Oreochromis niloticus: one gene and its partner. The protein of the gene in region 1 binds, or shares a complex with, the protein of each later gene. Links are inferred from orthologs where the notes say so. Each region holds a gene or a part of one and is shown on either strand. Other genes may lie near its edges. The genes, in order: bcl2l1 and tpt1.

Region 1 (12,340 bases):
GATGAGGAAAAAAAACTCTCCTAAAGCATCCAAATACCAATCCATCTTCTACGTTTTATCAATCATTTCACAAGGGGGCTGCAGCTTATCCCAGCTGTCATAGAGCAGCAGGTGGAACATTAATGAGTTGAACCTGTTTGGTTTGTCAGTATTATCCCCACCCTAAACTCCAACTAACTGAGAGTTCTGGGACTACACCCATACAAATATAAAATCTTCAAGCTCTTCTACTCATGTACCTCTGCACACGTTTCCAATAAGCTACCATCTCTGTCCACTTGATGGTTAGCAAACATCTTCTGTTTCTGACCTGACCTTCATGTCAACAGTGGTTACTTGTGATGAGAGCTGGGTCCAGCTACAACCAGTAATGAATTCTACTGTTAAAGTTCTGAGTTCTGCTGAACAGTAGAAAAGGCATAAGGTGTATTTTGGCCACTTGTGCCACTTGTTCATCAGATTTGGTTCCCTGTCTCTTTGTTCTCTTCCCTATGATTAAAATTTACCTTGAAGGGATTGCTGCTTTTTGGGAAGTGGTGTTGGGACAGTGATTAGCACTGTGGACACATAACAAAGTCAGTGGTTCAAATCTGCCATCAGGGCAGTGGAGTTTGCATGTTCTCCCTGTGTCTGCGTGGGGCGTTCAGTGACATGCAGTTAGTGGGGAGTATCAAGACTGTCAAGGGTTGTAGCCTGCTTCTCACCCTACAGCAGCTGGGATAGACTCCAGCACTCCCGAGATCCAGAACTGGATAAGTGGAAGAGGATGGATAGCGGTTTCAACTTAACAGTGATACAGTAGACCTTACAGAGGCATAAAGTGTAAAGGGTCAGAGCGGGACTTCCAGAACGACGTGTTAAAAACTAGCAGGTCTGCTGAAAGCCATTCATAGGTGCCATAGGAGCCTGCAAATTACATGGGTTTTAATTAAAGTAGTTTTGAGGGTTTCTTTTCTAATGGACAGAGACTCAGAACTTTATGTTCACAGCCCAGAGTTAGAGCAGGTGATATTTCAGATATGTGTATGAATGTGAATAGGGGCAATAAAATAAAAGTCAGTCAATTTGTTTTAGAATTTTGGGGCGATTTTTTTTTTTTTTTTTTTTTTTTTTAAGAAAAATCATAAAAATGGTGGGTGGCACATGAAGAAAAACAGGTAACGAATGCTTCTATGTGGTCATGTGAAACTGTACTTTCAAGGTGCCCGCTCCATCACCTTGGAGCGGGCAGAATTTTCTCCTCAGTTTTTACTTCATGCACAGCTTTAAGGTTTTGACAGGCGGCGCACCTGCGTGCGTTATCCAGTTCTGGATCTCGGGAGTGCTGGAGTCTATCCCAGTGAGGCAGATATGTTCTGAAGTTGTTCTGTCTTTTCTGCAGACAACGAGCAGCTGGCTCGGTCCGGGACAAACTGCCTGGAGAACCTGGTGATCCTGAATGGGGAGAAGTTCAGCCCCGAGGTGTGGGACATAACATGCTCCTGTATGCTGGAGATCTTCCAAAACACCAGCCCTCAAGCGTGAGTGCTGATCTTCTATACTCGAGTTCAGTTAAAGTGTAAAAGATGGCATCACTAAGTTAATGGGCGTTCAAAAATTGGTGTGTGTAAAAGTTACTGTTGCGTTTGTGCTGTCACATGATTGTGGATTTTTTTGCTTTCCAAACCAGTTTGTTGACTTGGCGACCGGCTGGACAGGATGAGGAAGCAGCTGACGCGAAACACTTTGTAAGAGGAAACAAAAAACCTCACCAAGTTCTCCCTGTGACTAAACGATGACTATGCACAGCAGCAGCTCTGCACATGCTTCATATAGTTTACTTTTAACCAATGAAAAGAACTCTCCTTTTCACACTGTTTCCACTATGTCAGACACTAACCTGTGTCTGTGTTCATGGTGTATTTTGTCGCTCCTGTACATTTCCAGGATGCTGATTTCGACACTCAGTCACAGAGCAGCTACGACCGAGCGCTCTCCGAGAGAGGACACAGCCAGATGTCCAGTGATGACACCTGGAAAGGCAGAAGCAATGCCAGTAAGCAAACGGGCGCATGCGTTTTTATTCAGTCTGTAAAATGAATAATCTCAGCATGAATTCCAGGGCTCATATCTCCACACCTTTCTAAATACCTTTCCCTGCTGCAGGAGTTTCAGACCAGAGGCTGTTTGCAGGCCTGCTGATCAAATGCGTCGTGCAGCTTGAATTAATACAGACCGTCGACAACATTGTCTTCTACCCAGCCACCAGCAAGAAGGAGGATGCTGATAATATGGCTGCTGCGCAGGTAAAGCTTGGCACCTCACCCACTCTATGTCAGTGTGTCACTTTTATTCATAATCACAAAATCATAATCCCGAATGAGCTGAAGAGGCGAACCAAAGAAAAGAGAGTGAAAATGTATTCCTGCTCTTCACCTTTACAATTTTAATATGAGGTGGTGCAGATAAAATGTGGAAGCAGCCACGGACAAATGTTTCAGGAAAAAATAGTTCTGCTAAAAATTTGTAGTTAGCTTGAGTTAATCCAATTAAATGAGTGTGTGCACAGTCCCAGTGGGTTTCAGTAGGCCACCAGTGGCCTAGGGACCAGAAATGTCCAGTGTCCGCTAGTACAGCCTTATTTTTATAACTATTATAAAATCATATATGCTAAAGTTTTTTCCTCGTGCCAGCGGGATGCTCTGGAGGAGTCGGAGGCTGAGGGGCGTGAGTCGGGTCCAGATCAGGGCATGTACAGACACATGACGTCCGCACACCTCTTCAAGCTGCTGGACTGCCTGCTGGAGTCACACACCTTTGCCAAAGACTTCAACTCCAATAACGAACAGAGGACGGCACTCTGGAGGGCAGGTAAAAACCAAGGGAAAGCCCCCAGGATTCTCTGTCCTGTGCACGTTACAGTTCAGAAGGTTCTTTGTTTATAGCTTTACGTTAAACAGAGGAGAACTATCAGTAAATAGTGGGAAGAGTAATGGTATATCCAGCCCAGTGTTATTTTCACTTCCTTTGTTTTGTTTTTTTGATAAACAATAGATATACAGAAAGGAAAGGCAGCGTGGAGAACACCGTGATATGCAGCGAAATGGGACACGTCTTAACTACAAGCCTCTGTTACTGATTTAACAGCTGTCATCTCTCTGGTGACCTTTCAGGGTTTAAAGGGAAATCTAAGCCCAACTTACTGAAGCAGGAGACCAGCAGTCTAGCCTGCAGCCTCAGGATCTTGTTCAGGATGTACTCGGACCCTCAGCTGCAGGACTCGTGGCCCGACATCCAGACACGCCTGCTGCTGTGAGTGAAACGCTCTCCTGCACTTTCTCACAGTGTTTCCTGTGTGTCATCACCGGTTAAATGTTAAACCTTAGATAAATAAGCACCGAGTGTGTCACTGGCAGAAAGGGCAGCGCTGCTGTTTGTTCCTGTGTTTTGACACACAGCTCATACCTCATTATAAATTTATGAATGTACTCTGCGTGCGCATTTCGTGTAATATATTGGCATGCTAAAGCCGGGCACATATCACCTCGTCGTGTTTGTCGCTGTAAGCGATGACTCACGTATTGCATCAAGAACACACATGTGAGACGTTTATCATCATGAAATAGCTGCCTCTATGATAAAGATGATGCGGATTGATAATCAGTTTTGTGCAGCAACACTGATACCGACAGCTTTGTGTTTGTCATAATCGTGTATGTGCGTCTGTGTTGTGTCATCTCTCTCAGGGTGTGTAATGAAGCTCTGGGCTACTTCATCAGTCTGACCTCAGAGAGCCACAGAGAGGCTTGGAACAGCCTGCTGATGCTGCTGCTCACCAGGACGCTGCGGCTGCCCGATGACAAGGCAGGAACGCACACGCACAGAGCACACCTCCAAATACACATTAGTAACAACTTGGGGAAAGAGTATTAGTAGTAGTGTAGTGTTACATAAAGTATTTGTTCAGTAAAGCTTTACCTGTGCTACACTCTCCAACTCACGCTGCCTCCTCCCCACTGAATTGAATAACAATAAAATAAAAGTACAAAAAAAAAAGATCAGTTCTTCCCAAGCAAAAATATGTTATTAGTTCAATCCTTTTGAATTGATGTCATTTTTGTGAGTACATATGAATTATGTATTTAGAGAATGTGCATGATGATTCATGGCAGCGCATGACTTGAGGTGCCTTTCCAGGTCATTTTAGACCAAAACCAGAACCGTGCAGCCACAAGTAGTAGGAAATGTTGGCGCCGTGCAGCCAGCCAACAAACCACTGCATCAACAAAAACTAGACCAGTATTGTTACAGTGGACTGGTCGGCACCGCTTTCTTATGCAATCCCTACTTTGAGTTTTGGGAACGTTTCATAATTCCGTGAAATTGTTGTTAAAAGCAGGAAAAAAACAGCAACAAACATGCATCACTGTCGACATATTAATTAAACACCCTGCTGTGAACCTAGTGGTCAGCAACCACCCCTCATTTTGTATATTTTTCCAAATACACTGTTTTGTTTTGGTTGTTTTTTTTAATGTCTGAGTCTTTAGCTAAATGTTCTCCTGTTTGTTCCAGTTCAAGCCTCACGCGTCCTGCTACTACCCCCACCTGTGTGAGATGATGCAGTTTGACCTGATCCCTGAGCTGCGGGCTGTCCTCAGGCGCTTCTTCCTGCGCATTGGCTCCGTCTTCCACATCGCTGCTGCTCATCCAGAGGGAGCGCCCGCCCGGACTCCCGCATCCTAAGAAGGTGGGTGGACAGGGAAACGGCGAGCGCTGGTGAGAAGATGGACACAACTTCCGAGAGACTCTATACCTCTGATTGGACCGGATCGGATCACAGATGGCTGATAAAGACAAGCTTTCCCGCTGGGACTCTGCGTTGAGTATTTCTGTTTTCGGCTGCGCTCGGCAGCTAGAAACACCTTCGCCCGGATCCCTGGCCATCCTCTTTATCTCGGAGATGAACAGCACTGTGACCAGCACTCTCTGCTGACTGTAGTCATTTATCATCCCCCTGACTGTCATCTTGAAAAAACTGTAAACAAATAATTTATTGATATTATTGCAAACCCTTTCACAGATTTTTGAGCGTTTTCTTTTCCTGCTTAATTTTTTAAATACTTTAAAACAAAAAGAAAAATGTCTATATGCTGAAAGGAAATGAAAAATCTCATTGAATTTGATTTCCTTGCATTTGCTCTAGTAAAAGATAAATTCTGGCCACCTGTGCCTGTTTGGGGGAAAAAAAGAAAAAAGGTGATCTAATCAAAATAAGTTCCTTGTGTTAGTGTCAATCCTGAAGCATTATTGAACTCTCATATCTGTGTTAATATCAAGGAGGTTGTTGAAAAGGCTGAACCTCACAACTGCAGGAGAAACCAATCTGCGCCTCTTACAACACTATCAGTGATCTTTAATTGGGAGATCTGTGTGACACTGCCATCCCGTCACGTTTGTCACCTCTTGCCTATCGATGAGATTTTACGTATTTATTTGGCTCACTTTCTTTAGTTATTGTTTGGATAATTGCTGGTTTACAGTGTACGGATGGTTGATATACTGGCTGCTTCCCTCTGCTGTGCATTCCCGCGTGTGTTGACCCAGTCAGCCTTACACTGGGGTCGACTTCTCCTGGCTTTACAGTGGACTGATAAAACCTGCACACATCCATCAGTTGGACTAGAATACTACAGTTGTCCATATCTTTATTTTTTACAGTGTGTTCAGGTATTAACATGACACAGTGTAACGACTTACACTGGATGCCTAGAACTCCCTTTAGTGTTGACCCTCTTCCACATTAGTTTGACAGAGCAAAACCAAAACTTGCATCCACAGAGGCTCCAGCATCTCTGCATCCTGGATCATTTCGAGTTTGTTCCATGCCTTTCTTTTTTTTATTTTAAAAAAAGAAGGATGTATGTAATTATTTAAAGTGCATTTAAATATTTTTTGAAAAGCATTCCTTCCCTCGCAACTATGGATGTCTACTTCCCTAAATCTAGGGAATATATAAATATATATAAATATATACAGTAAATGAAAAAAAATACAGACTGTAAAGTTTTCAATGTAAGATACATAGAAATGAAAGTGCTCTACGGTTCTATACATAATATTGTGATGTAATCTTCTAAGCATTTGGTGACGTAATCAATAAACCTGAGTTCTGATCTACTTCAGTGTCTGTTGGTGCAGTTTTAAAGCTGTTTAGAGGGTGACCAACACAGGTGGTGCCACCTAACATTAAGTGCTGAGTTTGCTGACCTCCAGTTCTAATGGTAAGGGAGGCTGGTAATGCGGTGTGGAATGGAGCCGTCATTAAATTTGCTGTTATTGCACGTGCTTTTTATGACATGACCAAATAAAGCCAATTTAAACTCTCTAAATGTTTTAAAATGTAGAAGCGTGTGGGTATATCAAGATGTCCACAGGGTGGCACTGCAATCAAACTGGTAGTCACCTTGAAGCGTGCTAGGGTTTGGGGTAACAAAGGTTACTATGGAGACCTCACGTCTTTTGTTATCTAAAGTGTAAAGATGCCAAACAGCTGCTACATGGGCCCTTTTATGAAAAAAAACAAACAAAAACAAAAAAAACAAAGTAAAAAGAAATAAACCTTAAAGTTAATATGTAAACGATGAAGTGTGTCATAGTTGCCATCAATGGTCGACTTAAATAATTTATGTCTGTGTGTCAGATGTGACGCTTCAGCATTACAACTAGCGCACTTTTAGCAAGTTAGCGCTAATATTAGCCGGCTAGCGTTAGCTGGGGCTTCATACAAGCTAGCCTTGGCTAGCCCGTAGTTCACGCTGGGAAACAACCCGAAAATCTCAGCGACACTGGCACAGCTCCGTTAATGCATTTGTGGCGGAGTGTTGACGTTAGAAAAAAGCAATGATCCCGCTAGTTGCAGTGAGGCTTGACTGGCACCGGTTGGTTACGTAGAAAGCGTAGCTGTGGGCGGATCTGCGGTAACCAGTAGCTGAGCTAGACCTCCTCCGCAAGACGGGCCAGCAATGACGGATAGGGTTGATCCAGCCGGGGTTTGGATTGTGAGCCACCAGACATGATTATATGAAGACCACCCTACAAGTAAGAGTTTCTGCTCGATGTACAAGTGTAATTCTGATCCCTGTGCTGATGGCGTCGGTGAAATAACGTGAGGAGGAATGGCAGAGGGTGGATTTTCCTATCTGAATCCTGCGAGAGGAAAGAGGTCGACAGATTAGGGAAAAAACGCGCAGCGATACTTTCGTTCCCTCCCCAAAGCTTTCGGGGTCAAAATGTAATTCTGCTTTGTGCAAACTATAAGTGTTCATTGTAGTAAAAGGTTTTGCCTCGGAAAATGTATGTTTTTCAATCTTGCAGTCTGCGAATGTGCGACTACATGTATATGACAGTGACAGCCATGTTCACAAGCTGACTACAGCCGCGTTAGTACAGGCGGAGCAGTCTCTGTCATAATGGCTTACTTAGGAATTTTAGTGTTGCAATGCTAATTGCGGGGGTGGTGTCGTCTATATAAAGCAGGGTGTTGTCGCAAAGTGGCATTTTTCTAACGAGATGCGATTAAAGGTCTTGGAATGGAATTGTGTTGCGTTCAAGGGATCCCCTACAGTTTTCATTAGAAATATCAAAATGTGTGTGGAATACAGAGACAGAGTGGAGTTTATTTAAACTACGGTGAAAACCGGTACTTCAGGTTTGTTATGTATATGTAATTTATTGTGCTAAACGCGTTAAGGCAGATACATTGTGAATAACCGGTGACAGTGCAAAGAAACGTCCCTTTCAATTGAATCGAATTGAAAAATGTAATAAATTGTATCGATCTTTCTAACGAGTTGTTAGCTGTTAAATTTTAAAATATCTAACGCTTGAATTATCTCTAAGAGGTTACTGGAGCGAGTAATATCATATATGTACTGTTTTTAAGTCGTGCACGTACGAGAATTTTCGACACGATCGTGAACGAGGCATCCATAAAAGCGTCGGTGTTACGCAATCGGGGGGGAGGGCTGTCCATGCAAAGAGAGGAGGGGGACGTAGGAGGATACGTGCAAATACAGTCCTGAGCACAAAGTACCTATCTTGTGTTCTGACAGCTTTTGTACACGTAAAGCGACAGACGGGGTTGTCTGACAGATTCGGGACGTTTTCACCGAGAGGATCCGTGTACGGAGAAAAGCACTCCCCCCCCGGGTTTGATATCAAGAGTTGCTGGTAAGACACTCGGGAATGACCTTTAATCCTTATATTTATATTTTTGACGGTGTTAAAACGCCACTTAATAATAAAAAATTAAATATACATCAATATCCTGACGGTGGGGGAGCTGACACAAGCTTTAAGTGCGCCACCAGAGGGAGTAGCATGTTTCAACACTGCTCTGGCTGGTTAATGTGTAAAAGGACAGTTTAAATTCCACCGTAAAAAACATCAGCAGAGACTCCAGTTTAAGTGAACCAAGTTAATGTTTGAGTTAATGTCGCGTTCAGGCGCTACATTTGGTCGCGATTCGCTGGTATTCCTTGAGGAGCTGTGTGGTGTTTACATCAGTGCTGGCCCATTAAAACCCGAGCCACGTGTAGGTAGCTGGGGACCATGTGGCCATTGTAAACACTGCTGCCTTGTGGGTCTTTATGTGCTGTAACGGTCTCTTTCTGTTACTTTTACCACCCAAATGCGGACTAAGTAGTCAGCTGGGTGTATTTGAGTGAGTTTTTTTGTCGGGGGGGGCAGTTTGCTTCTGCCATAGCTCGGAGCCAGCTGACACTGTATCGTGCTTCTATTGTGCTGTTAGGAATATATTGTATTATGTAATGTCACCAGCGCTATTTGCATGGAACTCCCTCCCAGCGGTCGGGCACCCTGATTATTAGGTTCCGCCACGTATCAACGTAAATGTCAGTATTGCTACAGGAAAGGTCAGGCTCCCTCACGATAAGCAGACAGTTTGGGATCACCGGCGGGTCACATCCCTCCCACGTCTTTTTGTGTGTACCAGTGAGTATGGTATGGTGACAGCACATTACAGAAGGGGCTGGGCAGTCAACTGCTCTCACAGAGTCTTTGTTTCAGGGACCTAAACTCAATTTAGAGGCTTCAGGAAGGGAACGGAAATGATTAATAAAGCAGTTTGTATTACTGAACATCGCTAACGTTATTAGGCTGCTGTCAGGGATGTGAAAGTAATAACTGAGGGTGCAGGAGCTTTTCTCCACAGACTTTCTTGTTCACATATGAATTGTGATTTATTTATTTACTTCTGTTAATATAACCTGACAAAAAAGCTGATATATATCCTTGTCAGGCTGTATTTCCCACAACCCAAATTACATGTTTTTATTTGGAACAACTCCAGATATATTCAAATTTCTGTTATACATGTGAATAATAAAACATCCATTAGTCACATTATTGTTGCTGGAAACATTAAAAAATCGGTTTTGCCTAAAATGTTAACTGGAAAACATTTGATTTGATAGAACCAGATGTTGATTTCATCCTAACTATGGACGTTCTAATCATATTAAGCTGCTTCTTCTTTATTGTTTTTTTTGGGGGGGGGATGTTACTCTTTGTTATGGTTGATACTAATGTTTAAAATAAAAATTTGGCTGATAGCTAATACAGATATTTTGTTGTTGTTATTGTAATTTTGTTCTTGCATTTTGCTCCAGAAACACAAATTAATTTATCTTAATTTTTAAACTTAACGTTAACATAAAAAAAACAACAACAACAAAACGCATATTTTAAGGTTTGTCAGCTAAAGATAAGTATCGATATTGATATCTGTGAACTGATATGAGTCAACAAGGCCAATTCAAATATGAATCTGATCTGTGGGTGCGTACCTGTTCGGTATGCTGACCTTTCTCCTCGGTGGTAGTTCACATGTTTTAAACATTTCTTCGCTGACAAAGTTACCAAACATGTGTTTGACCTGTGCGTGACCTATCTGAGCAGAATGTTTGAAGTAACAGCAGTCTGATACATCACTGGTTAAAAGGACCAAATTACTCAGGTTATTGCTGCATGTGTTTGCTAATAGATTTCCAGAATTTGAGTTCAGAGGAAGTTCATGACATTTTGTATATTTAACAACACTCAGGCTGTTTTTAGTCAGCCGCTGAAACATAAACTTAAGTTAACTTGATGAGAACAAACCTGCTAGCTGAGAGTGGCAGCACAGCATCTCCTATACAGTTTTTATTACCACTTTTTATTTTGCAGTTCAACACTGTCACCACACGTTCATGCTAAAGCTGTCAGACGGGCCCATAATGCAAGCTCATATATATGCGTCGTTAATACTTCTGCAACCTCCAACGCCAGTAATGAGGAGGAGGCTGGAAATATGACAGAGTCAGTTTTGTGTGGAGATTTAAGGGCACGTGTGTGAGCGAGAGAATAACGGAGTGAAAGCTTCCCTCAGAGGTCAGAGGTCACTGATTAGGATGTCTATGTGGAGCTTCAAGCCAGACTGTCTTCACCTTCCTCACGCCTCCTTTCACTTTGTCTCTCTCTTTCTCTCTCTGACACACAAACACACACACGCGCGTGTGTACACACACATTCTCTCTGCTGTCGTCTCATTAATATCATCCCATCTGCTTCATATGTAACAGCCCAATTAGAGAGACGCACTTTGACCCTACCTGTCCAAATTTAATTTGAAGGTTCACAGTCGTCCCTACGCTCTCCACTCTCCTTATACAGTCTCTCACACACACACACACACACACACACACACACAGACGTAATCCTGGATATAAGCAATCCAGACTTTGACCTTTCATCGTTGTGTCTCTGCAGGGCCTGAGCCGTGCAGCCTTGTGTAGGTTTGGTTTTCACCCCCCAAGTGTCCCGTGGATATCAGCTGACCATGGTGGTCTGAACAGAGAAAACGGGAGGAAAAGAAAAAGCCTGGCGCAGTGTGTGTACACTCTAACACAGCGAAGCTTGACCACAAGCGGAGCAGAGAGAAGAGCCGGAGCAAAGAGGAGGGGAAAACAAAAAAAGCACATTTAAATACAAAATGTCTCAAAACAGAGAACTGGTGCTTTTCTACATAAGGTATAAACTCTCCCAGAGAAACTATCCTCTCAACCACATAGTACTCAACGAGCCTTTGAACAGGACTGATGGGGGGGCGGCGGGGTTGGATGAGGAACAGCGAATAGACACACACGCCAATGGGACTTTTAATGGCACGAGTCCCGGGACCCCTCCGGCATCCCCGCAGCGGCAGCAGCAGCCGCCATCAACGACGGACCTCGACGCAGTGAAGGAGGCGCTCCGGGACACGGCCAATGAGTTCGAGCTGCGATACGCTCGTGCCTTCAGCGACCTTCACAGCCAGCTGCACATCACGCCGGCCACGGCCTACCAAAGCTTTGAGAACGTGATGGACGAGGTGTTCCGGGACGGCGTCAACTGGGGCCGCATCGTAGGGCTTTTTGCGTTCGGCGGGGCACTGTGTGTTGAGTGCGTCGAGAAGGAGATGAGCCCCTTGGTGGGCAGGATCGTAGAGTGGATGACCGTCTACCTAGACAACCACATTCAGCCCTGGATCCAGAGCCAAGGAGGATGGGTGAGTCACACACACAGAAGCGCACACGCCGTTTGCTTGTATAGCCTCTTTCATAAAAGGGCTCTTTAACATTGTGGCCTTTAATTACACAGGCAAGGTAAGCTCAGGTCGCCAGCATGGAAAATTTCCTTGCTGCCACTTTTACTATGCACCCACAGCTGGCAGCAGTCAGGTGGAAAATAAGTTTAAAACCTGCCCTTACTTTTCCCATCTACTTCTGGAAGTGCGCCTGCTTTTGTTGCTATAGTGATAGCGGTGTTTTTGATCATATGTGCCGTTTCCCTGTCAAGAGCAGATTTGCTCCATTGTGTTAGTTGTGAGGCTTTCCTGCCTGCGTGGCTTGACCTCTAGAGGATCGTTTTTTGTGTCTCGGTAATCTAACAAGTCGACATGAGACAGTGGCTGGCTCCATAACCCGCCAAGAAGAGACTTGAGATTAGATGTGATGAAGATGGAAATTGGAACACATCTGGCTTCAAGAAACATTTGTCTTTAAAAGCAGTAAAAACAAGAGTGCCTGTGTGGTCAGCAGCTAGTTCAGCTGTTCTCTAATTGATCAGCATCACGCTGTTCAATGAGCTGAATCGAAGTGGGAGCTTAACAACCTAAATCAGGGTTCTGGGAGTCTCCTGCAGCCTGCCTGGGGATCGAAGTTCTGTCATCACAGGGCAGGATAAAGTCCAGGGCTTTTACAGATAGCCCTTTGTTTTGCTCTGGTCAGTTGATCGCCTCTGTGCTTTGTTTTTTTGTTTT
Region 2 (12,398 bases), on another chromosome or scaffold:
AATTTCTTCTGATAACCTCTCTCTTAGCTCTCAGCCTGGCAGTTTTGTGGTACCATGACAGTGCCAACTCTACATTAAGAGCTGCCAGTGTGTTGGTTTAGAAGAGTAGAGAAGAGTTAAGTTACAGTCCTGAGCCCAGACACCCTTCAGAGAGAACAGATTTCCCCCGCTTATACCTTCAATCTCCTTTAATGCACTGCCCACAGCTCGTGGCTGTGAGGATAAGAATGAAGATGTACAAATCAATTAACAGCTCTGCTTTCACACTTACTGCATCAACAACGACAAAAACATGGGTGTAGTTTGTTTTAAATATGAAGCCTATGTATTAGTCTTAAATATGCATTCTGTATGAAAGCCACTAGATGGTGATAGCTGTGATTGCAGAGATTACCAATCCCATAGAAGAAACAGGCAAACAACATTTTATCTTATCAAACCTTGCAACACGTGTCAGTTTCTTTAAAAGATAGTACATATCGTTTATTTGTGGTTATTATCCTCCACGTTAATGAGTCTAGTTGTTGAGACTAAAGACCTTAGATAAACTAACAAATATATTTGATGTCCTAACCACCAGGTAATTTGACAGTTGGCTACACACGTTTCTTTGTACTGCAGATCACTAGGCTGCTCTGAATCACTACTGTAAAACTATGGACGACCATGAGTACAAAAATGAATTACATCATTAAGTCATTAATAAAATTAGAAATTGATGTTTTATTACCGACATTTAAAGCCAGTAACTCATTTTGGCACTTGTTGCCCTCCATATAACCTTCACACATTTAATACCAATCTCATTACCAACTTTTCATTCAGTAAATTACATTCATCATACACCTGACCTTGGGTCAACAGCCACAAGCCCTTTAGCTCACTCCTGAACAACCTCTGTACTACCAGCTCTAGTCGTCCTACTAATTTGTGTTTATCCATTACTTTGTATGGCACCATTTTCCAGTAAAGCAACATTTTTTCTTGAATTTTGCTTTTACACAGGACTCCTTTTGTACATGAAGCCCACACATTACATTGCCAGCAGCTACTGGCTGTGACTGTTCTGCACTTCACAAAAACCTGAGAATCAAAAAGGTGAATGAGAAAACCCAAAGACAACTGCACATGAGATCAGCTTGTCAAAGCTACAAAAGCATCTTTTCAAGCAATTCAAAAAGGATATTCTGAAATTCAACCCACAAACTGCCTGTTTGCAGCACTAGAAGTGAAGGTTGTCACAGAAATACAGAGAAATGAAATGGAAAGTTGTGGTACTCGTTTTTATTCGTTTTCAAATTAAACCATAAGTCTTTATTGTAGATGGAATCTTATTTAATGCAACCACAAACCCAAACTCAAAGGGGTCCGGTGATGCCAACCTGTATGGATCGTTGCTAAAACAGTTATGCAGACAAAAAACAAATGTCTTCTTTCAGCCAGTCAGAGCTTTGCTCGCTGTCCAGCCTTTTGTTTCAATCACAAAAACTGGGCCAATCCTGGGACAAAAATCAAACACTGCAAAAGCCAAAAAGAAAAGGTTAAAAACTGTATTCGGTGACTAATCATGTTTGATTCACCCCCCAGGTTTGGGAGCGGTTCTGTGGGCCGTAATGTGAATATTTAAGAAATTGGACAATGTTTCTGTTCAGGCATGATGCAAGGTAGTGCTCCTCCAGTCTGCTTTGTAGGCCATTTTGGAAGCAGCAGTCAGGTAAATGGCAGATGTAATTCCAGGTAGTTACTGTGGGAAAGAGAGAGGAACAGTGTGTAGTTATTAAATTTAACCATCTACCATCAAGTAGACAGCAGGCATGATTTTACAAACATGGAACATTCATTTAGAAATCCAGACTGTGTGTGTGTACTGTGGCATACTGATGTTCTCCAGCAGGAACACTTTGTAGTTTGAGAAATGTATCAAGTCTTTCCCACTTCATAGCACTTACGCATTTTTCGATCTCCAGGCCATCTTTGAAGAAAAGCATGAATGGTGTGATGCCATCCTCACGGTAGTCCAGCAGACCAACCATGCCCTCTGGGTTCATGGACTCTCCTGTGAAAAACTGCAAGCAAACAGCAACCATTAGACCTTCCTCTCAGTTCTATAGAAAGACTGAATTAAAAAACAAGTTCCGATTACAAAGATTTGCAAATCTCAAACCCATAATTTATTCACAGTAAAACACAGAAAATGCCAAATTTTTAAATCTAATAAAATATAATTTCAAATTTGGCAGCTTTTCTTGAATTTGATGGCAGGGGCAAGTCTCCTCCTCCCATCAAATGTACCTTCATTGAGTCACAGATTAGGTACGTTTCATTAACAAGCTTCGGGATGCTGGCTGTCAGCCACAGATCAACATGTCAAAGAACTGACATGTTTATTTCAAACAAGCAAGCTGGTTAAACTTGTCTTTTTGACACTACTTAACAGCAGCACCCAGTCTAGATGTCAAGTATTCACACTATGTTATCACACACAGTCTATAAAGCTACAAACTGACAAATGATAGAGGCAAATACACCTCCAGGATAAAAACATTAGCAACTGATGATGACTCACAAAAAATCTGTCAGCTGAGATTTTCCCATAAACTGAATTGCCACAGTTTTCAGAGAGCTTCAGCTACATGATTCAACTCAAGTTTTGTATAGAGACCCACACACACAAAGTGACATGCAGGCCTTCCTACGAGACTTGAAAATGTCACTCAAACTCAAATTTTAAGGGTTTCAAAAAAATACTGTAGTTACTGTATTCGCAAGGCAAAACTTTACATTTACTTTTGGTGTGAACATGGTGTAAAATGCCATTTCATCTCTGTATAGCTACCTGGTAGTTCTTGATGTTCCCCAAGATCTTCTTGACTTCTGGTTGGATGTCAGCCATAAAGCTCTCCACTCTATCTGGTTTGGTCTCTTGCAGCTTGGCCTTAACACTAGACATGCAAACAGACGCGTTCATTTAACAGAGCCAAAGATCATTCAAAACCAGAACTCCTCCATACTGGCACATCGAGCTACTCACGCCTTCACATAGTCCTTAATGTAAGTCATGTACTGCTTCTTGTCAAAGCCCGTCTCCTGCAGTTTGTGGTTCAGGACGATGTCGACACCGGAGATTGTGGAAGACTCGTTGCCCTCGGTTGCTTCCTCGGCAGAAGCGTTGGCTGCAATTAGAGAATCATCAAACCCTTCTGTCCTGGTGACGGTCTGTAGTTGAGGAGAGGAAGAAAAATGAAAAAACAATTATTGCTGGTGCATCATAGCAAGGGCAATAGTAAATGATTGGGAAATACCAATAGATCAGTTGGCCTTCAATTCAGTATTTTTGAGCTATTTAAAAATGTATAACTAACAAGAACAGCCGGCTGACTCAAATGTTGTCGCCTGCGACAGTTTCCCAACCCCTTCGAGGCTAAACCTCATTACTATAGTATTCGTCATTATACCTGAAGCAGTTTATCTGTTGCATTTATGTACTTATGGGAAAAAAAAAAAAAAAAAAAAAAGCATACACATAAATACAGCCCTTCGTCATACACATCTTAAAATTTACCCTAGGATATTATTTAGCAAAACCCTGATCCGCCATTCTGATCTGAATCACATCTTTTGTTTAAACATAAATGTTACTTTTTTTGTTAACTTAAAAACAAAGGTTTAAGTATTTGCTTGGTAACTACTTCACCTAGTTTCTTTGACTAATTTTAAAGTATGCTTAAAGACAAATACCAGGCTAACATGATACTTCAAACTGTTCTAGTATTTTAAAAATAAAATTTGTCTGATTCTTAGGCAGGTTAAGGACCTTGAAGTTACGCTATTGGAGACCTGCAACTATGATTCATCTTCAGTCATAGTCAAGATGACGTCATGGAAGTACACCCAGAAATCACATGACTCACTCCAAAAAACATCTACCAAATCTACTTTAAACATAAGTAGTGGCCCATCCTGAATAATAATACCAAAGCTATAAGAGAAATTACAAAACTGGGGAATAGATTTAAAAAGAGCAGACGCTTGTACATTATTTGTTAATTACCATATGATCTTGTCCCGGTGTTTTAGATGCAAGCTCAGCCAAGACAGAAACAAATAAAATGCTGGTACCTTTATTTTTCCCCCTTTATCCCCCCTATCCCCCTTTGTGGTCAGCTTTCCCCACCCCAGTTTCTCTCTCTCTTTTTGGGTGAGTGTGTTGGTATTTGTCGCTCAAATTCCAATTGCTTTGTACATATGTCCATTCCAATAGTTTCAGCAGTCTCCTTCCAGTAATTAGCTGTTTCTATGTTATATTAATACGATGATTATTATTATTCTTTATATTGAGATAATGATGGCTACTCTCTCAGTAATGAACTCAAAAACTGGTTAAAAAGTAGCCAGAAGCCACTCACAGAAGGAATGGACAGTACTGAAGAGGCCAACACAACAGTCGTGGGCTGTATTGATCTAATGTGTTGTTACATTTCTAGTGAGGTCTGCACCAGATAACGGTGTAATTTCCTACCGAAGCATAAATCCCTAATAAGGGGCAGCTTAAAGCAGCTACTTATTCGCTGATGTTTTATTAAAACACCTTAGTTTTGGGTGTATGCCAACTACACTTTAAATTTCACTGCAAAGCAGCAATGAACCAGCTGTTGGAAAAAGGTGAAACTGGTTAAATCCTCTGTTGAACATGTGGTGGCGAACTCACCTTTCCTTCAACCTCAAAGAAGATCCCGTTTTCACTTTCTTTGACTTTAAAGGCATCTGAGAACATCTCATCACCTGTAGAAGGAAAAGGGAGGAAGGAACATATTACAACACTCCAAGCTAACATCATGATTTAAAAGAACAAAAGCAGCAGCAGAGGCTTATATGTTATCCACAATTCAAGGCTGAATCTTGTGCGATTAAAATAAAATGTGAGGCGCAGTGGCGGGGGAACACTAACAATGATTAGTCTAGAAAAATCTGCCGGACAAAAATAAAACTGCAGCAGAGGGGGGGATGCTGAAAGGCCACATACACCACGTTACTTTACCATGACGAACCCCAACAGGAATAGCCCCAACCCCCGGCAACTACCAAGCCACCTCACCGGTGACTGAGCCGGTACTCTTTTACACTTTTATAAAACTTTATTTGAGCCGAAGTGCGGGCAAAGCTACAAGCTAACCGGCCACAATCACCGGCTAGCCCAACAGGGTGGCTAACTCCACATACTCTTCTGATTGAGTTAGCATCTGGCTAGCTAGCGCTAACTTCCGAACCATGACAACACGAGTTAGCTCGTTAGCGTGACCAACTCTCACCTATAACATAACAACACACGTGAAATAACACACGCGACCATCACGCTACCTGGTCAGCGTGAAAGAAGACACGTAAAAAGGTCACTCACCGCTGATAAGGTCCCTGTAGATGATCATTTTGCTGCTTCGGTGTTAATTCTTCCCAGAGACAGAGAGCAGGCCAACCGCCCAAACAGCACGGGAGAGGAAAAAGACCGATCAGGCCGCGAGGCGCTACATTTACATCCTGCTGACGTCACTGTGGGTCGGCTCCTGCTCCGGGTTCTGCCGCCACTTGTGGGTGGTCAGAAGTGGTACTACAGCTATTCTGAGCCTCGCGGTGATTGATTTTTGCAAGTGGGGCTTAAACAACCAGATGGAAAATAATAATAATTTAAATTAATTTTATCTTGGATTATTTTGAATGTTAGTGATTGATTAAAAATTTTATTGTGTGGGGCAGAAACCTGAATAACTAGGAAATTCTGGATCATCACAGCACAAAAGGAGCAGCTTGTAGAATCTGTTGCATGATCTGAAGCTCTTCTGAGGCTCTTTCTTTGAGATTTTTCCCCATGTGACAACCTCCATGGTGGACAAATTCTCATTTCAAGAACCATCTTTACACAAGCATTGAATACGTTATCAGTTGGCAATCGCCCCCGCGAACCATTAGTTGCTGGGGGAAGATGTGTATTCCCTGACCAGTTGGCAAGTTGTTCCTGGGGAGAATTAAGGGGTGCTGCAGCAAAAGCCTTTAGATTCCTTTGGTTGTTAGCAGGTATTGGTGTAGTTTGCATGAAAGACACCAGCCTGAGGAATTGCAAGGAGGTTTTTGGTGTAGTACCATATTTGTTGCAGCCAGTTTTAACTAGCAATTGGCAGCAAACTACAACCATAGTTTGCGGGGGGGGGGGGGGGGGTTCTTGTCTCTAGGCCTGTGTCACTAGGGTTTTATGTTTTGTGCATGACAGATTGCAGCATGAAAAAGCAGTTTGGGCATTTTTGTAATTATCTGACTAGCTTTATGGCTCAACTCGACACTCAACCATTGAGTGAATCTTTTATATACAGTCTGTAGACAACTTATTGCAACTACTCACTTTAAGGTTATACTACTTTACGCTCAATACACTTTCTTTCCATCACCACTGGTAAGTTCCCAGTTTTCAAATAGTTTGATGCTTAAAGAAAAACTTTGACATCCATCCAGCTATCCATTTTTCATCCACTTTGTCACATACAAGACCTGAATGCAAAATCTTTTAAGTGGTGAAATAAGGTCAATGAGTCTAAAAATACCCCGAGTGAACCTGCAAACTGTATCAGAGCAAAATGAAGTCAACAAGGATAAGCCATACAAGCATCGATTATTCGTAAAGCAACTTTATTGTTTAATAATAAGCATATTTTGGTACAAGTGGCACCATTTCAGCCTTTATTTATCTCAAACTATACATGAAATGGATCCCCTTTGTAAAATTCAAACCAGATTATCATTGAGCCACCACAAAGTGAGATTACTTCAGGTTGCATGGGCAAATGTGAAGTCCAATTACCTGCATTGTGGAATCCATTGAAACAGAAAAAAATCCTGTGGGCGCCCAACAGTTAAAAGTACATAGAGGCAGCATTTGGAGGAAAAGGCAGGGGAGCAGTGGCTTAAGACTTGTTCAAAAAGGGGGAAAAAAAATTACCAGAGTGGAGCTCATGGAGGGAACAACTGCATTGAAACAGAGCACATGCAAGACAAAAAGGAGGAACAAACATTTAGAAAAAAAAAAAAAAAATAGTCCATGTACATTTATACACACAAAATACACATGAGAATTTATTGACAGATGATAAAGACGCAAGTGCAAAAGTTTACAACATCTGTTCCAAAAGCCTCCACTCCTTTACCAACTCGCTTCTGTTTTTGTGAAAATGTCAGGACAGTGAAAGAATATCTAATTCAAGGCTACTGTGGACAAGTTTCTGTGATGAACGACTTAACCAGCAGCCCTGTGATCGGCGCCTCGTGACTAAAGATTCAGTTTTAGCAGGAATGTAAGTACTGCACAGGGTACACACTGCTCTCATCCAGAGTCTCAGCTGATCTTAACTTAATAACCTACACCAAGCCGTAAAGCTTCATCTTAACATTAAAATGCTACAGCTGTCCGCAGTCTGTGATGATGATCTTCTTTGTGGGAGTGCCTGCCTTTGAGCCCAGCTCTCCCATCTGCTGCACCACATCCATGCCATCCCGAACCCAGCCAAAAGCCACATGTTTGAAGTCCAGGTGTTCGGCTTTCTTCAGGGTTATGAAGAACTGCGAGTTGTTGGTGTCGCGCCCGCGATTTGCCATCGACAGGATGCCCGGGCCTGTGTGCCGGACATCAAAGTTCTCATCCTCAAAATTGTTGCCGTAAATGGACTTGCCTCCTGTGCCGTTATTCTTGGTGATGTCACCACCCTGAAAGACCAATGGAGCACTTGTTAGTGATGTTAGAGATTTGCTCTTGAGAGTTTTCTTTTAAACAACAGGGCTTACTTTCATGGCATCAATAAAATACTTCATACATCAAATTACAGAGCTGTGCTATGATTACAAACAACAACCAGGGTGTATTTTTGTCAACCCAGAGTAAATCCCACTTTGTTGTAATCAAACAAGTTTAACATTCATCTGATCTTGAAAGTCCAAACCCTGATCTTTCCTCACCTGACACATGAAATCTGGTATGATCCTGTGGAAGATGGAGTCCTGCAGCCCAAAGCCTTTCTCACCAGTGCAGAGAGCTCTGAAGTTCTCTGCAGTTTTGGGTACAATATGTGAGAACAGCTCTACAGTGATTGTGCCCAGAGGTTGGCCATCAGCTGCCAGCTTGAGGAACACCTGTGGGTTAGTGTCTCTGGAGTGCTCCTGAATTCTGGACATCTGTGGCGAGCACAGAGACGAGGCATCACCATCAATTTGGCCCATCCGGTTCTGACACTCGCAGAAGGTCTTTTTGAAGGATTCGGCTATTTCAGGGGTTTTGAACTTGGCCGCCAGCTGCTCAATCACACCTTCGCCATCTGGATAAACAAAAAGGGGGCGAGGAGAAAGAGAGCAGGTGAAGAACAATCCACATGTTGCCTAAAGAAATAAACACATGCAAGTGGTTTAAAAATCCAAGATGAATGATTAGTGAGTATTTACAGACAAGTCACACAACGCGGCACAATACAATGTCACATCGATGGTGTATGTGTACCTGAGTAATCAGTGGCAGTCCAGATCAGTGCGTTCGCTGAGGTGTTCATGGGTTTGAGCTCCATCGCCTGCGAGATCTTGTGGTTGGCGCAAACCCGCAGCACCTGTTCTCTTCTCATCAGGATTCGGTAGAAATGTTTGGTTGGGTGGAAGAGGATCTTGATGTCACCGATGCCGCGCTCCTTCCACTGGCCGATATCCCGGTCCCATCGATACAGTTTGGCACGCTCCTTGAACAGGATCTCCTCGTCCTCCTCTCCAGACTTAGTCTCCACCTGAGTGATAAATACAGTTCTGATGTATGAGATTCGGGGTGGCGCTTCTTTTGTGGAAAAGTTTACTAATTGTTCTAAAATGTTAGGGCTAAGCACGAGCACGTACCTCAGGCAGAGATACTATGGGCTCAAAGTGAATGTCCACATTTTTAGGAGCTTCTTCTTCATCACTTCCCTCCTCATCAGCATTGGTTTTAGGCTGAGAGGCCACTGCAGATCCAAACACTGTTGCTCCAGCATTTGCCCATGAGAAATTAGAATCTACATTTTTTTTAAAGAAAAATTAAAATAATTAGCAGTGAAACAAGACAACAGTCCAGATAAACAACTGAAGAAAATGTTTAATGTTAAAGCCAACCTTTTGATCCAAATGCAAATCCATCTGTATTTTTGGCCAACTCAGCAAAAGAAAAGCCAGATGCATTGAAGCCAAAGGTGGAGATGTCTGCAGCCAGAACAACAAAGACATTAAATACTTAAAAGCCTTTTCCACCCCTATATCTGTCAAAGTTAAAAGGTTAATACAGGGATGATGTATTCTCTAAGTTCATAAAGCATATTAGAATCAAGCTGTGTTCAGAGTGATAAATGAAAATATAATAGAGAATTCTGAAAAGATGGCACCATAATTATAACTTTCACAGGGGGAAAAAAAGCCTTTTTAAAATCATATTTTGGGGTAACTCATTTGAATAAGTCTTCATAATAACTCCCCAGAAACATTCTGAGTATAAAAGAAACCATGTATCCCTTCAGCTGAAATTCTGTCTGTGCAAAAATGTATTCAATATTTATCATTCAATCTAGCTCCTCATTTTAACATTTTTTTCAAATTTAAGTTAAAAGTTGGAGTGAAATCCCATAAAGTATGTGGCTGAAGATGGAGTTATGTTTCATTTGAAAACACTCATGCCGTTTTTCACACTTTTTTACCTCGACTTGTTGTAGCAGTCAAAGATGCAGGTTTAGTCTCAGTGTTGGACTCCAGCTCGACACTCTTCTTAGTTGAGAGGTCAATGGGAGAGCTCCTGCTAGGAGTTGCTGTGGTCTGTTTGTCTGCTGTAGATGTGCTGTCGGCAGCCTCTGCTCTGCTGGATGATGGTCCTGATGCTGGCATTTCAGGGGTCACAGCAGGACTGCTGGAGGCTTCGTTAGATTTGTCTAACTGAGCAACCTGATACAAATTTCCAAATTAATACCCATCTTAAGATGCCTCTGAGTATTACTGACAGAGTAAAATAATTTATTTAAAAAAGTTAACATTTGTTTGTTTTTTTAAAACAAAAGTTGAGTTTCCTGCTTGTATAATCTGAATTATCCATGTAAATTCGGAGCCATTACCAGGACTTCATGTACTTTGCGGACTTCTGTCTCAAAGTCCTCAGGCTTATCCTGGTCCGGGTCGCTGTCCGTGGTGCTCAGGCCACAGAAGAAGGTGGGTGGAAGCTGGAGGCTTTTGGCTTTTTTCTCCTCCTCTGGTGTTGGCTTCTTCTCCCACACCACCTGACAGTCTGACTCTGAATGCAGCAAACAGCAAGTTTAGGCTCACATTTATTAAGGTACACAAATTTTGGACTGTATAGCTATAACAGATCGACATAAAAGCCTTTAACATAGTAGCAGAATTAAACCAAACCAATTGTCTTGAGTTGGATATAATAACATGTAACAGGGTTTAGACTACATACCATCACCACATGCTGCAGCCTTTCTCTCAGGAGGATCAGGGTAGAGCTTTCCATTCAAGGCCTTCACCGCTGATTCGTAGTCTTCATCTGAAGTTTAAAACAAATGTTTCCTTTAATTATGTTTGCAAAGAAAATTATAGCGTTTGTTCAGACTTCTACCCATAAAGAATGAAAGATTAAAGGCAATTTTGTATTCTCAGATTTAAAACGACAGAGGCCAGCTTCGCAGGCATTACTGAACCTTGATGTCAAAGGAGACAACTCCCCCCAAAAACAAAAACTAAAACGAACAAACAAAAAGTCCAAGAAGTCCTTTCTTAGCTTTCTGAATGGGACAGTTACTAGTTTGTCTTATAAAAGCAGAAATTACAGTTTCAAATAATAAAATTTAAATAAAAATTCACTCCAAATAACATGTTTTAATTAAGGTTAAAGTTCCACTTTGATATTTATGTCAGGACAGATGTATATCCTTATACAGAAATACCGTGCATCACATTTTTCACTCATTTAAAAGGATGTCAGAGATCCTGTGGAGTTTCACTAACAGCAGCACTATGGAGTCAAATGTTTGACTCGTATAAAGTACACATTAGTGTCACCTATTTCACACTACTCTGCTGACCAGTTGGCAGCTGTACCAAGCCAAGCAGACAAAGAGTAATAAAAGACAGCCGATGCACTCTTTACATGGAGACAACTTGAACATGTTTGGTATAAATGAGTGAATTACCCAACCTTTAGCTGTATCAGGTTGGATATGAATTGTAAATGGACCATTAAATTTTCACAGCTGGTCTTCAAAGCTCCATCCATCTAAACTCCCAGCAACTCGCATGATTTACTGTTGTTAGGTTTTTTGTTTTGTTTTTTTAAAACATTTTTTTTTTGTTTAACAGAAGATGGCAAAATGTTTCTAGGTGCACTACTGCTACCTTCTGGCTCTAATAGCTCATTACATCATATGTGGGAGCGGTGGCATGTTAAAACAAAAACAAAAACAACAACAACAACAACAACAACAACAAGGGAAAAAGGTGTTATAAGGCCAAAAAAACCAATCAGCTTAATGCAGATTCAAATATTCAAAATAAATGATCAATTATTAAAAAGTCATGTACATCTCTTATACCAGCCTTATTTCTCAAAACTGTCAAATAAGGTGACATTTACCAGTGCCAGCAGCACTTCGGGTGTCACATTCATTTTTGCACTGGATACATTTTTTGGGGTTCAAAAGAAAGAAATAAAAACTGAAAAGCTAACAAAAAATGTCTATATAGCATTTCTTACATCGTCTCCTGGGAATGTTAATGATTCACAAATAAGCAGATTTATTTCAGCGAGTCATATGTACAACCACTGATGTCCACTTTAACAAACCCTCGTTCCATATCTTGGGTCTCACCGTCAGTTTGGTCATCACTGATGTAGCCTGGTTCATTCTTGTAGCAGAAGAAGGTGATGGGCAGCTGGAGCTTCCTAGCTAAAGCTGCCTGCTCAGCTGTGGGTTCCCTGACGTACACAATCTCCACCTCCGAGTCCTCATCAGACCTAGCACTGCTTCCCTCTGCCTGAGGGGATCCTATGATAGATGGATATGATAGGAGTAAACAAGTCAGGCTGGGAAAGAACTTTTGGAAGACAGGCCAAAATGTAAAAATTAAAAGCCTTTACAACCACAGGTGTTAATTACACACACACACACACACACCCCCACACAAAATCATGCACAGCAAAACATCATGCATTTGATTTACAACAGTGAGAGACATGTTTTTATAAGCAGAGGATTTCTGCATGGTCTCGTTTACACCACTTACTCTTGGACGAATGGTATCGTAACATTAAACAGCATAAATACCTGAGCTTTAACTCTAATTAGCCTTTGCTGAGGTAAACATCA

Evidence for each region.
Region 2: the proteins of bcl2l1 (region 1) and tpt1 are in contact, whole or in part, in a crystal structure (PDB 4Z9V), measured with the Homo sapiens proteins. The link is inferred for Oreochromis niloticus from reciprocal best matches to the Homo sapiens genes BCL2L1 and TPT1. Residues at the interface, in NP_001304848.1 of Homo sapiens: Ala93, Glu96, Phe97, Arg100, Tyr101, Ala104, Phe105, Leu108, Gln111, Ser122, Gln125, Val126, Glu129, Leu130, Asp133, Asn136, Gly138, Arg139, Val141, Ala142, Phe146, Leu194, Tyr195, Ala199, Ala200, Ser203; in NP_003286.1 of Homo sapiens: Phe14, Asp16, Ile17, Lys19, Ile20, Arg21, Ile23, Ala24, Asp25, Gly26, Leu27, Cys28, Leu29.

Annotation. Positions count from the first base shown.
Region 1 is NC_031984.2:31,794,819-31,807,158, forward strand, and holds the start of bcl2l1 (bcl-2-like protein 1), read left to right. Parts: upstream 1-6,785; 5' UTR 6,786-7,080; intron 7,081-7,880; exon of another isoform or gene 7,881-8,211; intron 8,212-10,809; 5' UTR 10,810-11,032; coding exon 11,033-11,587; intron 11,588-12,340. Other genes in the region: arfgef2 (brefeldin A-inhibited guanine nucleotide-exchange protein 2), read left to right, coding at 1,382-1,520, 1,670-1,727, 1,927-2,035, 2,146-2,285, 2,673-2,850, 3,153-3,291, 3,726-3,843, 4,555-4,725. UniProt on the Homo sapiens protein: Potent inhibitor of cell death. Inhibits activation of caspases. Appears to regulate cell death by blocking the voltage-dependent anion channel (VDAC) by binding to it and preventing the release of the caspase activator, CYC1, from the mitochondrial membrane.
Region 2 is NC_031987.2:11,357,517-11,369,914, forward strand, and holds tpt1 (translationally-controlled tumor protein homolog), read right to left. Parts: upstream 5,552-12,398; 5' UTR 5,427-5,551; coding exon 5,399-5,426; intron 4,783-5,398; coding exon 4,709-4,782; intron 3,217-4,708; coding exon 3,032-3,216; intron 2,943-3,031; coding exon 2,837-2,942; intron 2,067-2,836; coding exon 1,950-2,066; intron 1,745-1,949; coding exon 1,742-1,744; 3' UTR 1,265-1,741; downstream 1-1,264. Other genes in the region: E3 SUMO-protein ligase RanBP2, read right to left, coding at 7,441-7,746, 7,996-8,351, 8,531-8,804, 8,911-9,065, 9,163-9,249, 9,738-9,978, 10,146-10,321, 10,493-10,579 and 1 more. UniProt on the Homo sapiens protein: Involved in calcium binding and microtubule stabilization. Acts as a negative regulator of TSC22D1-mediated apoptosis, via interaction with and destabilization of TSC22D1 protein.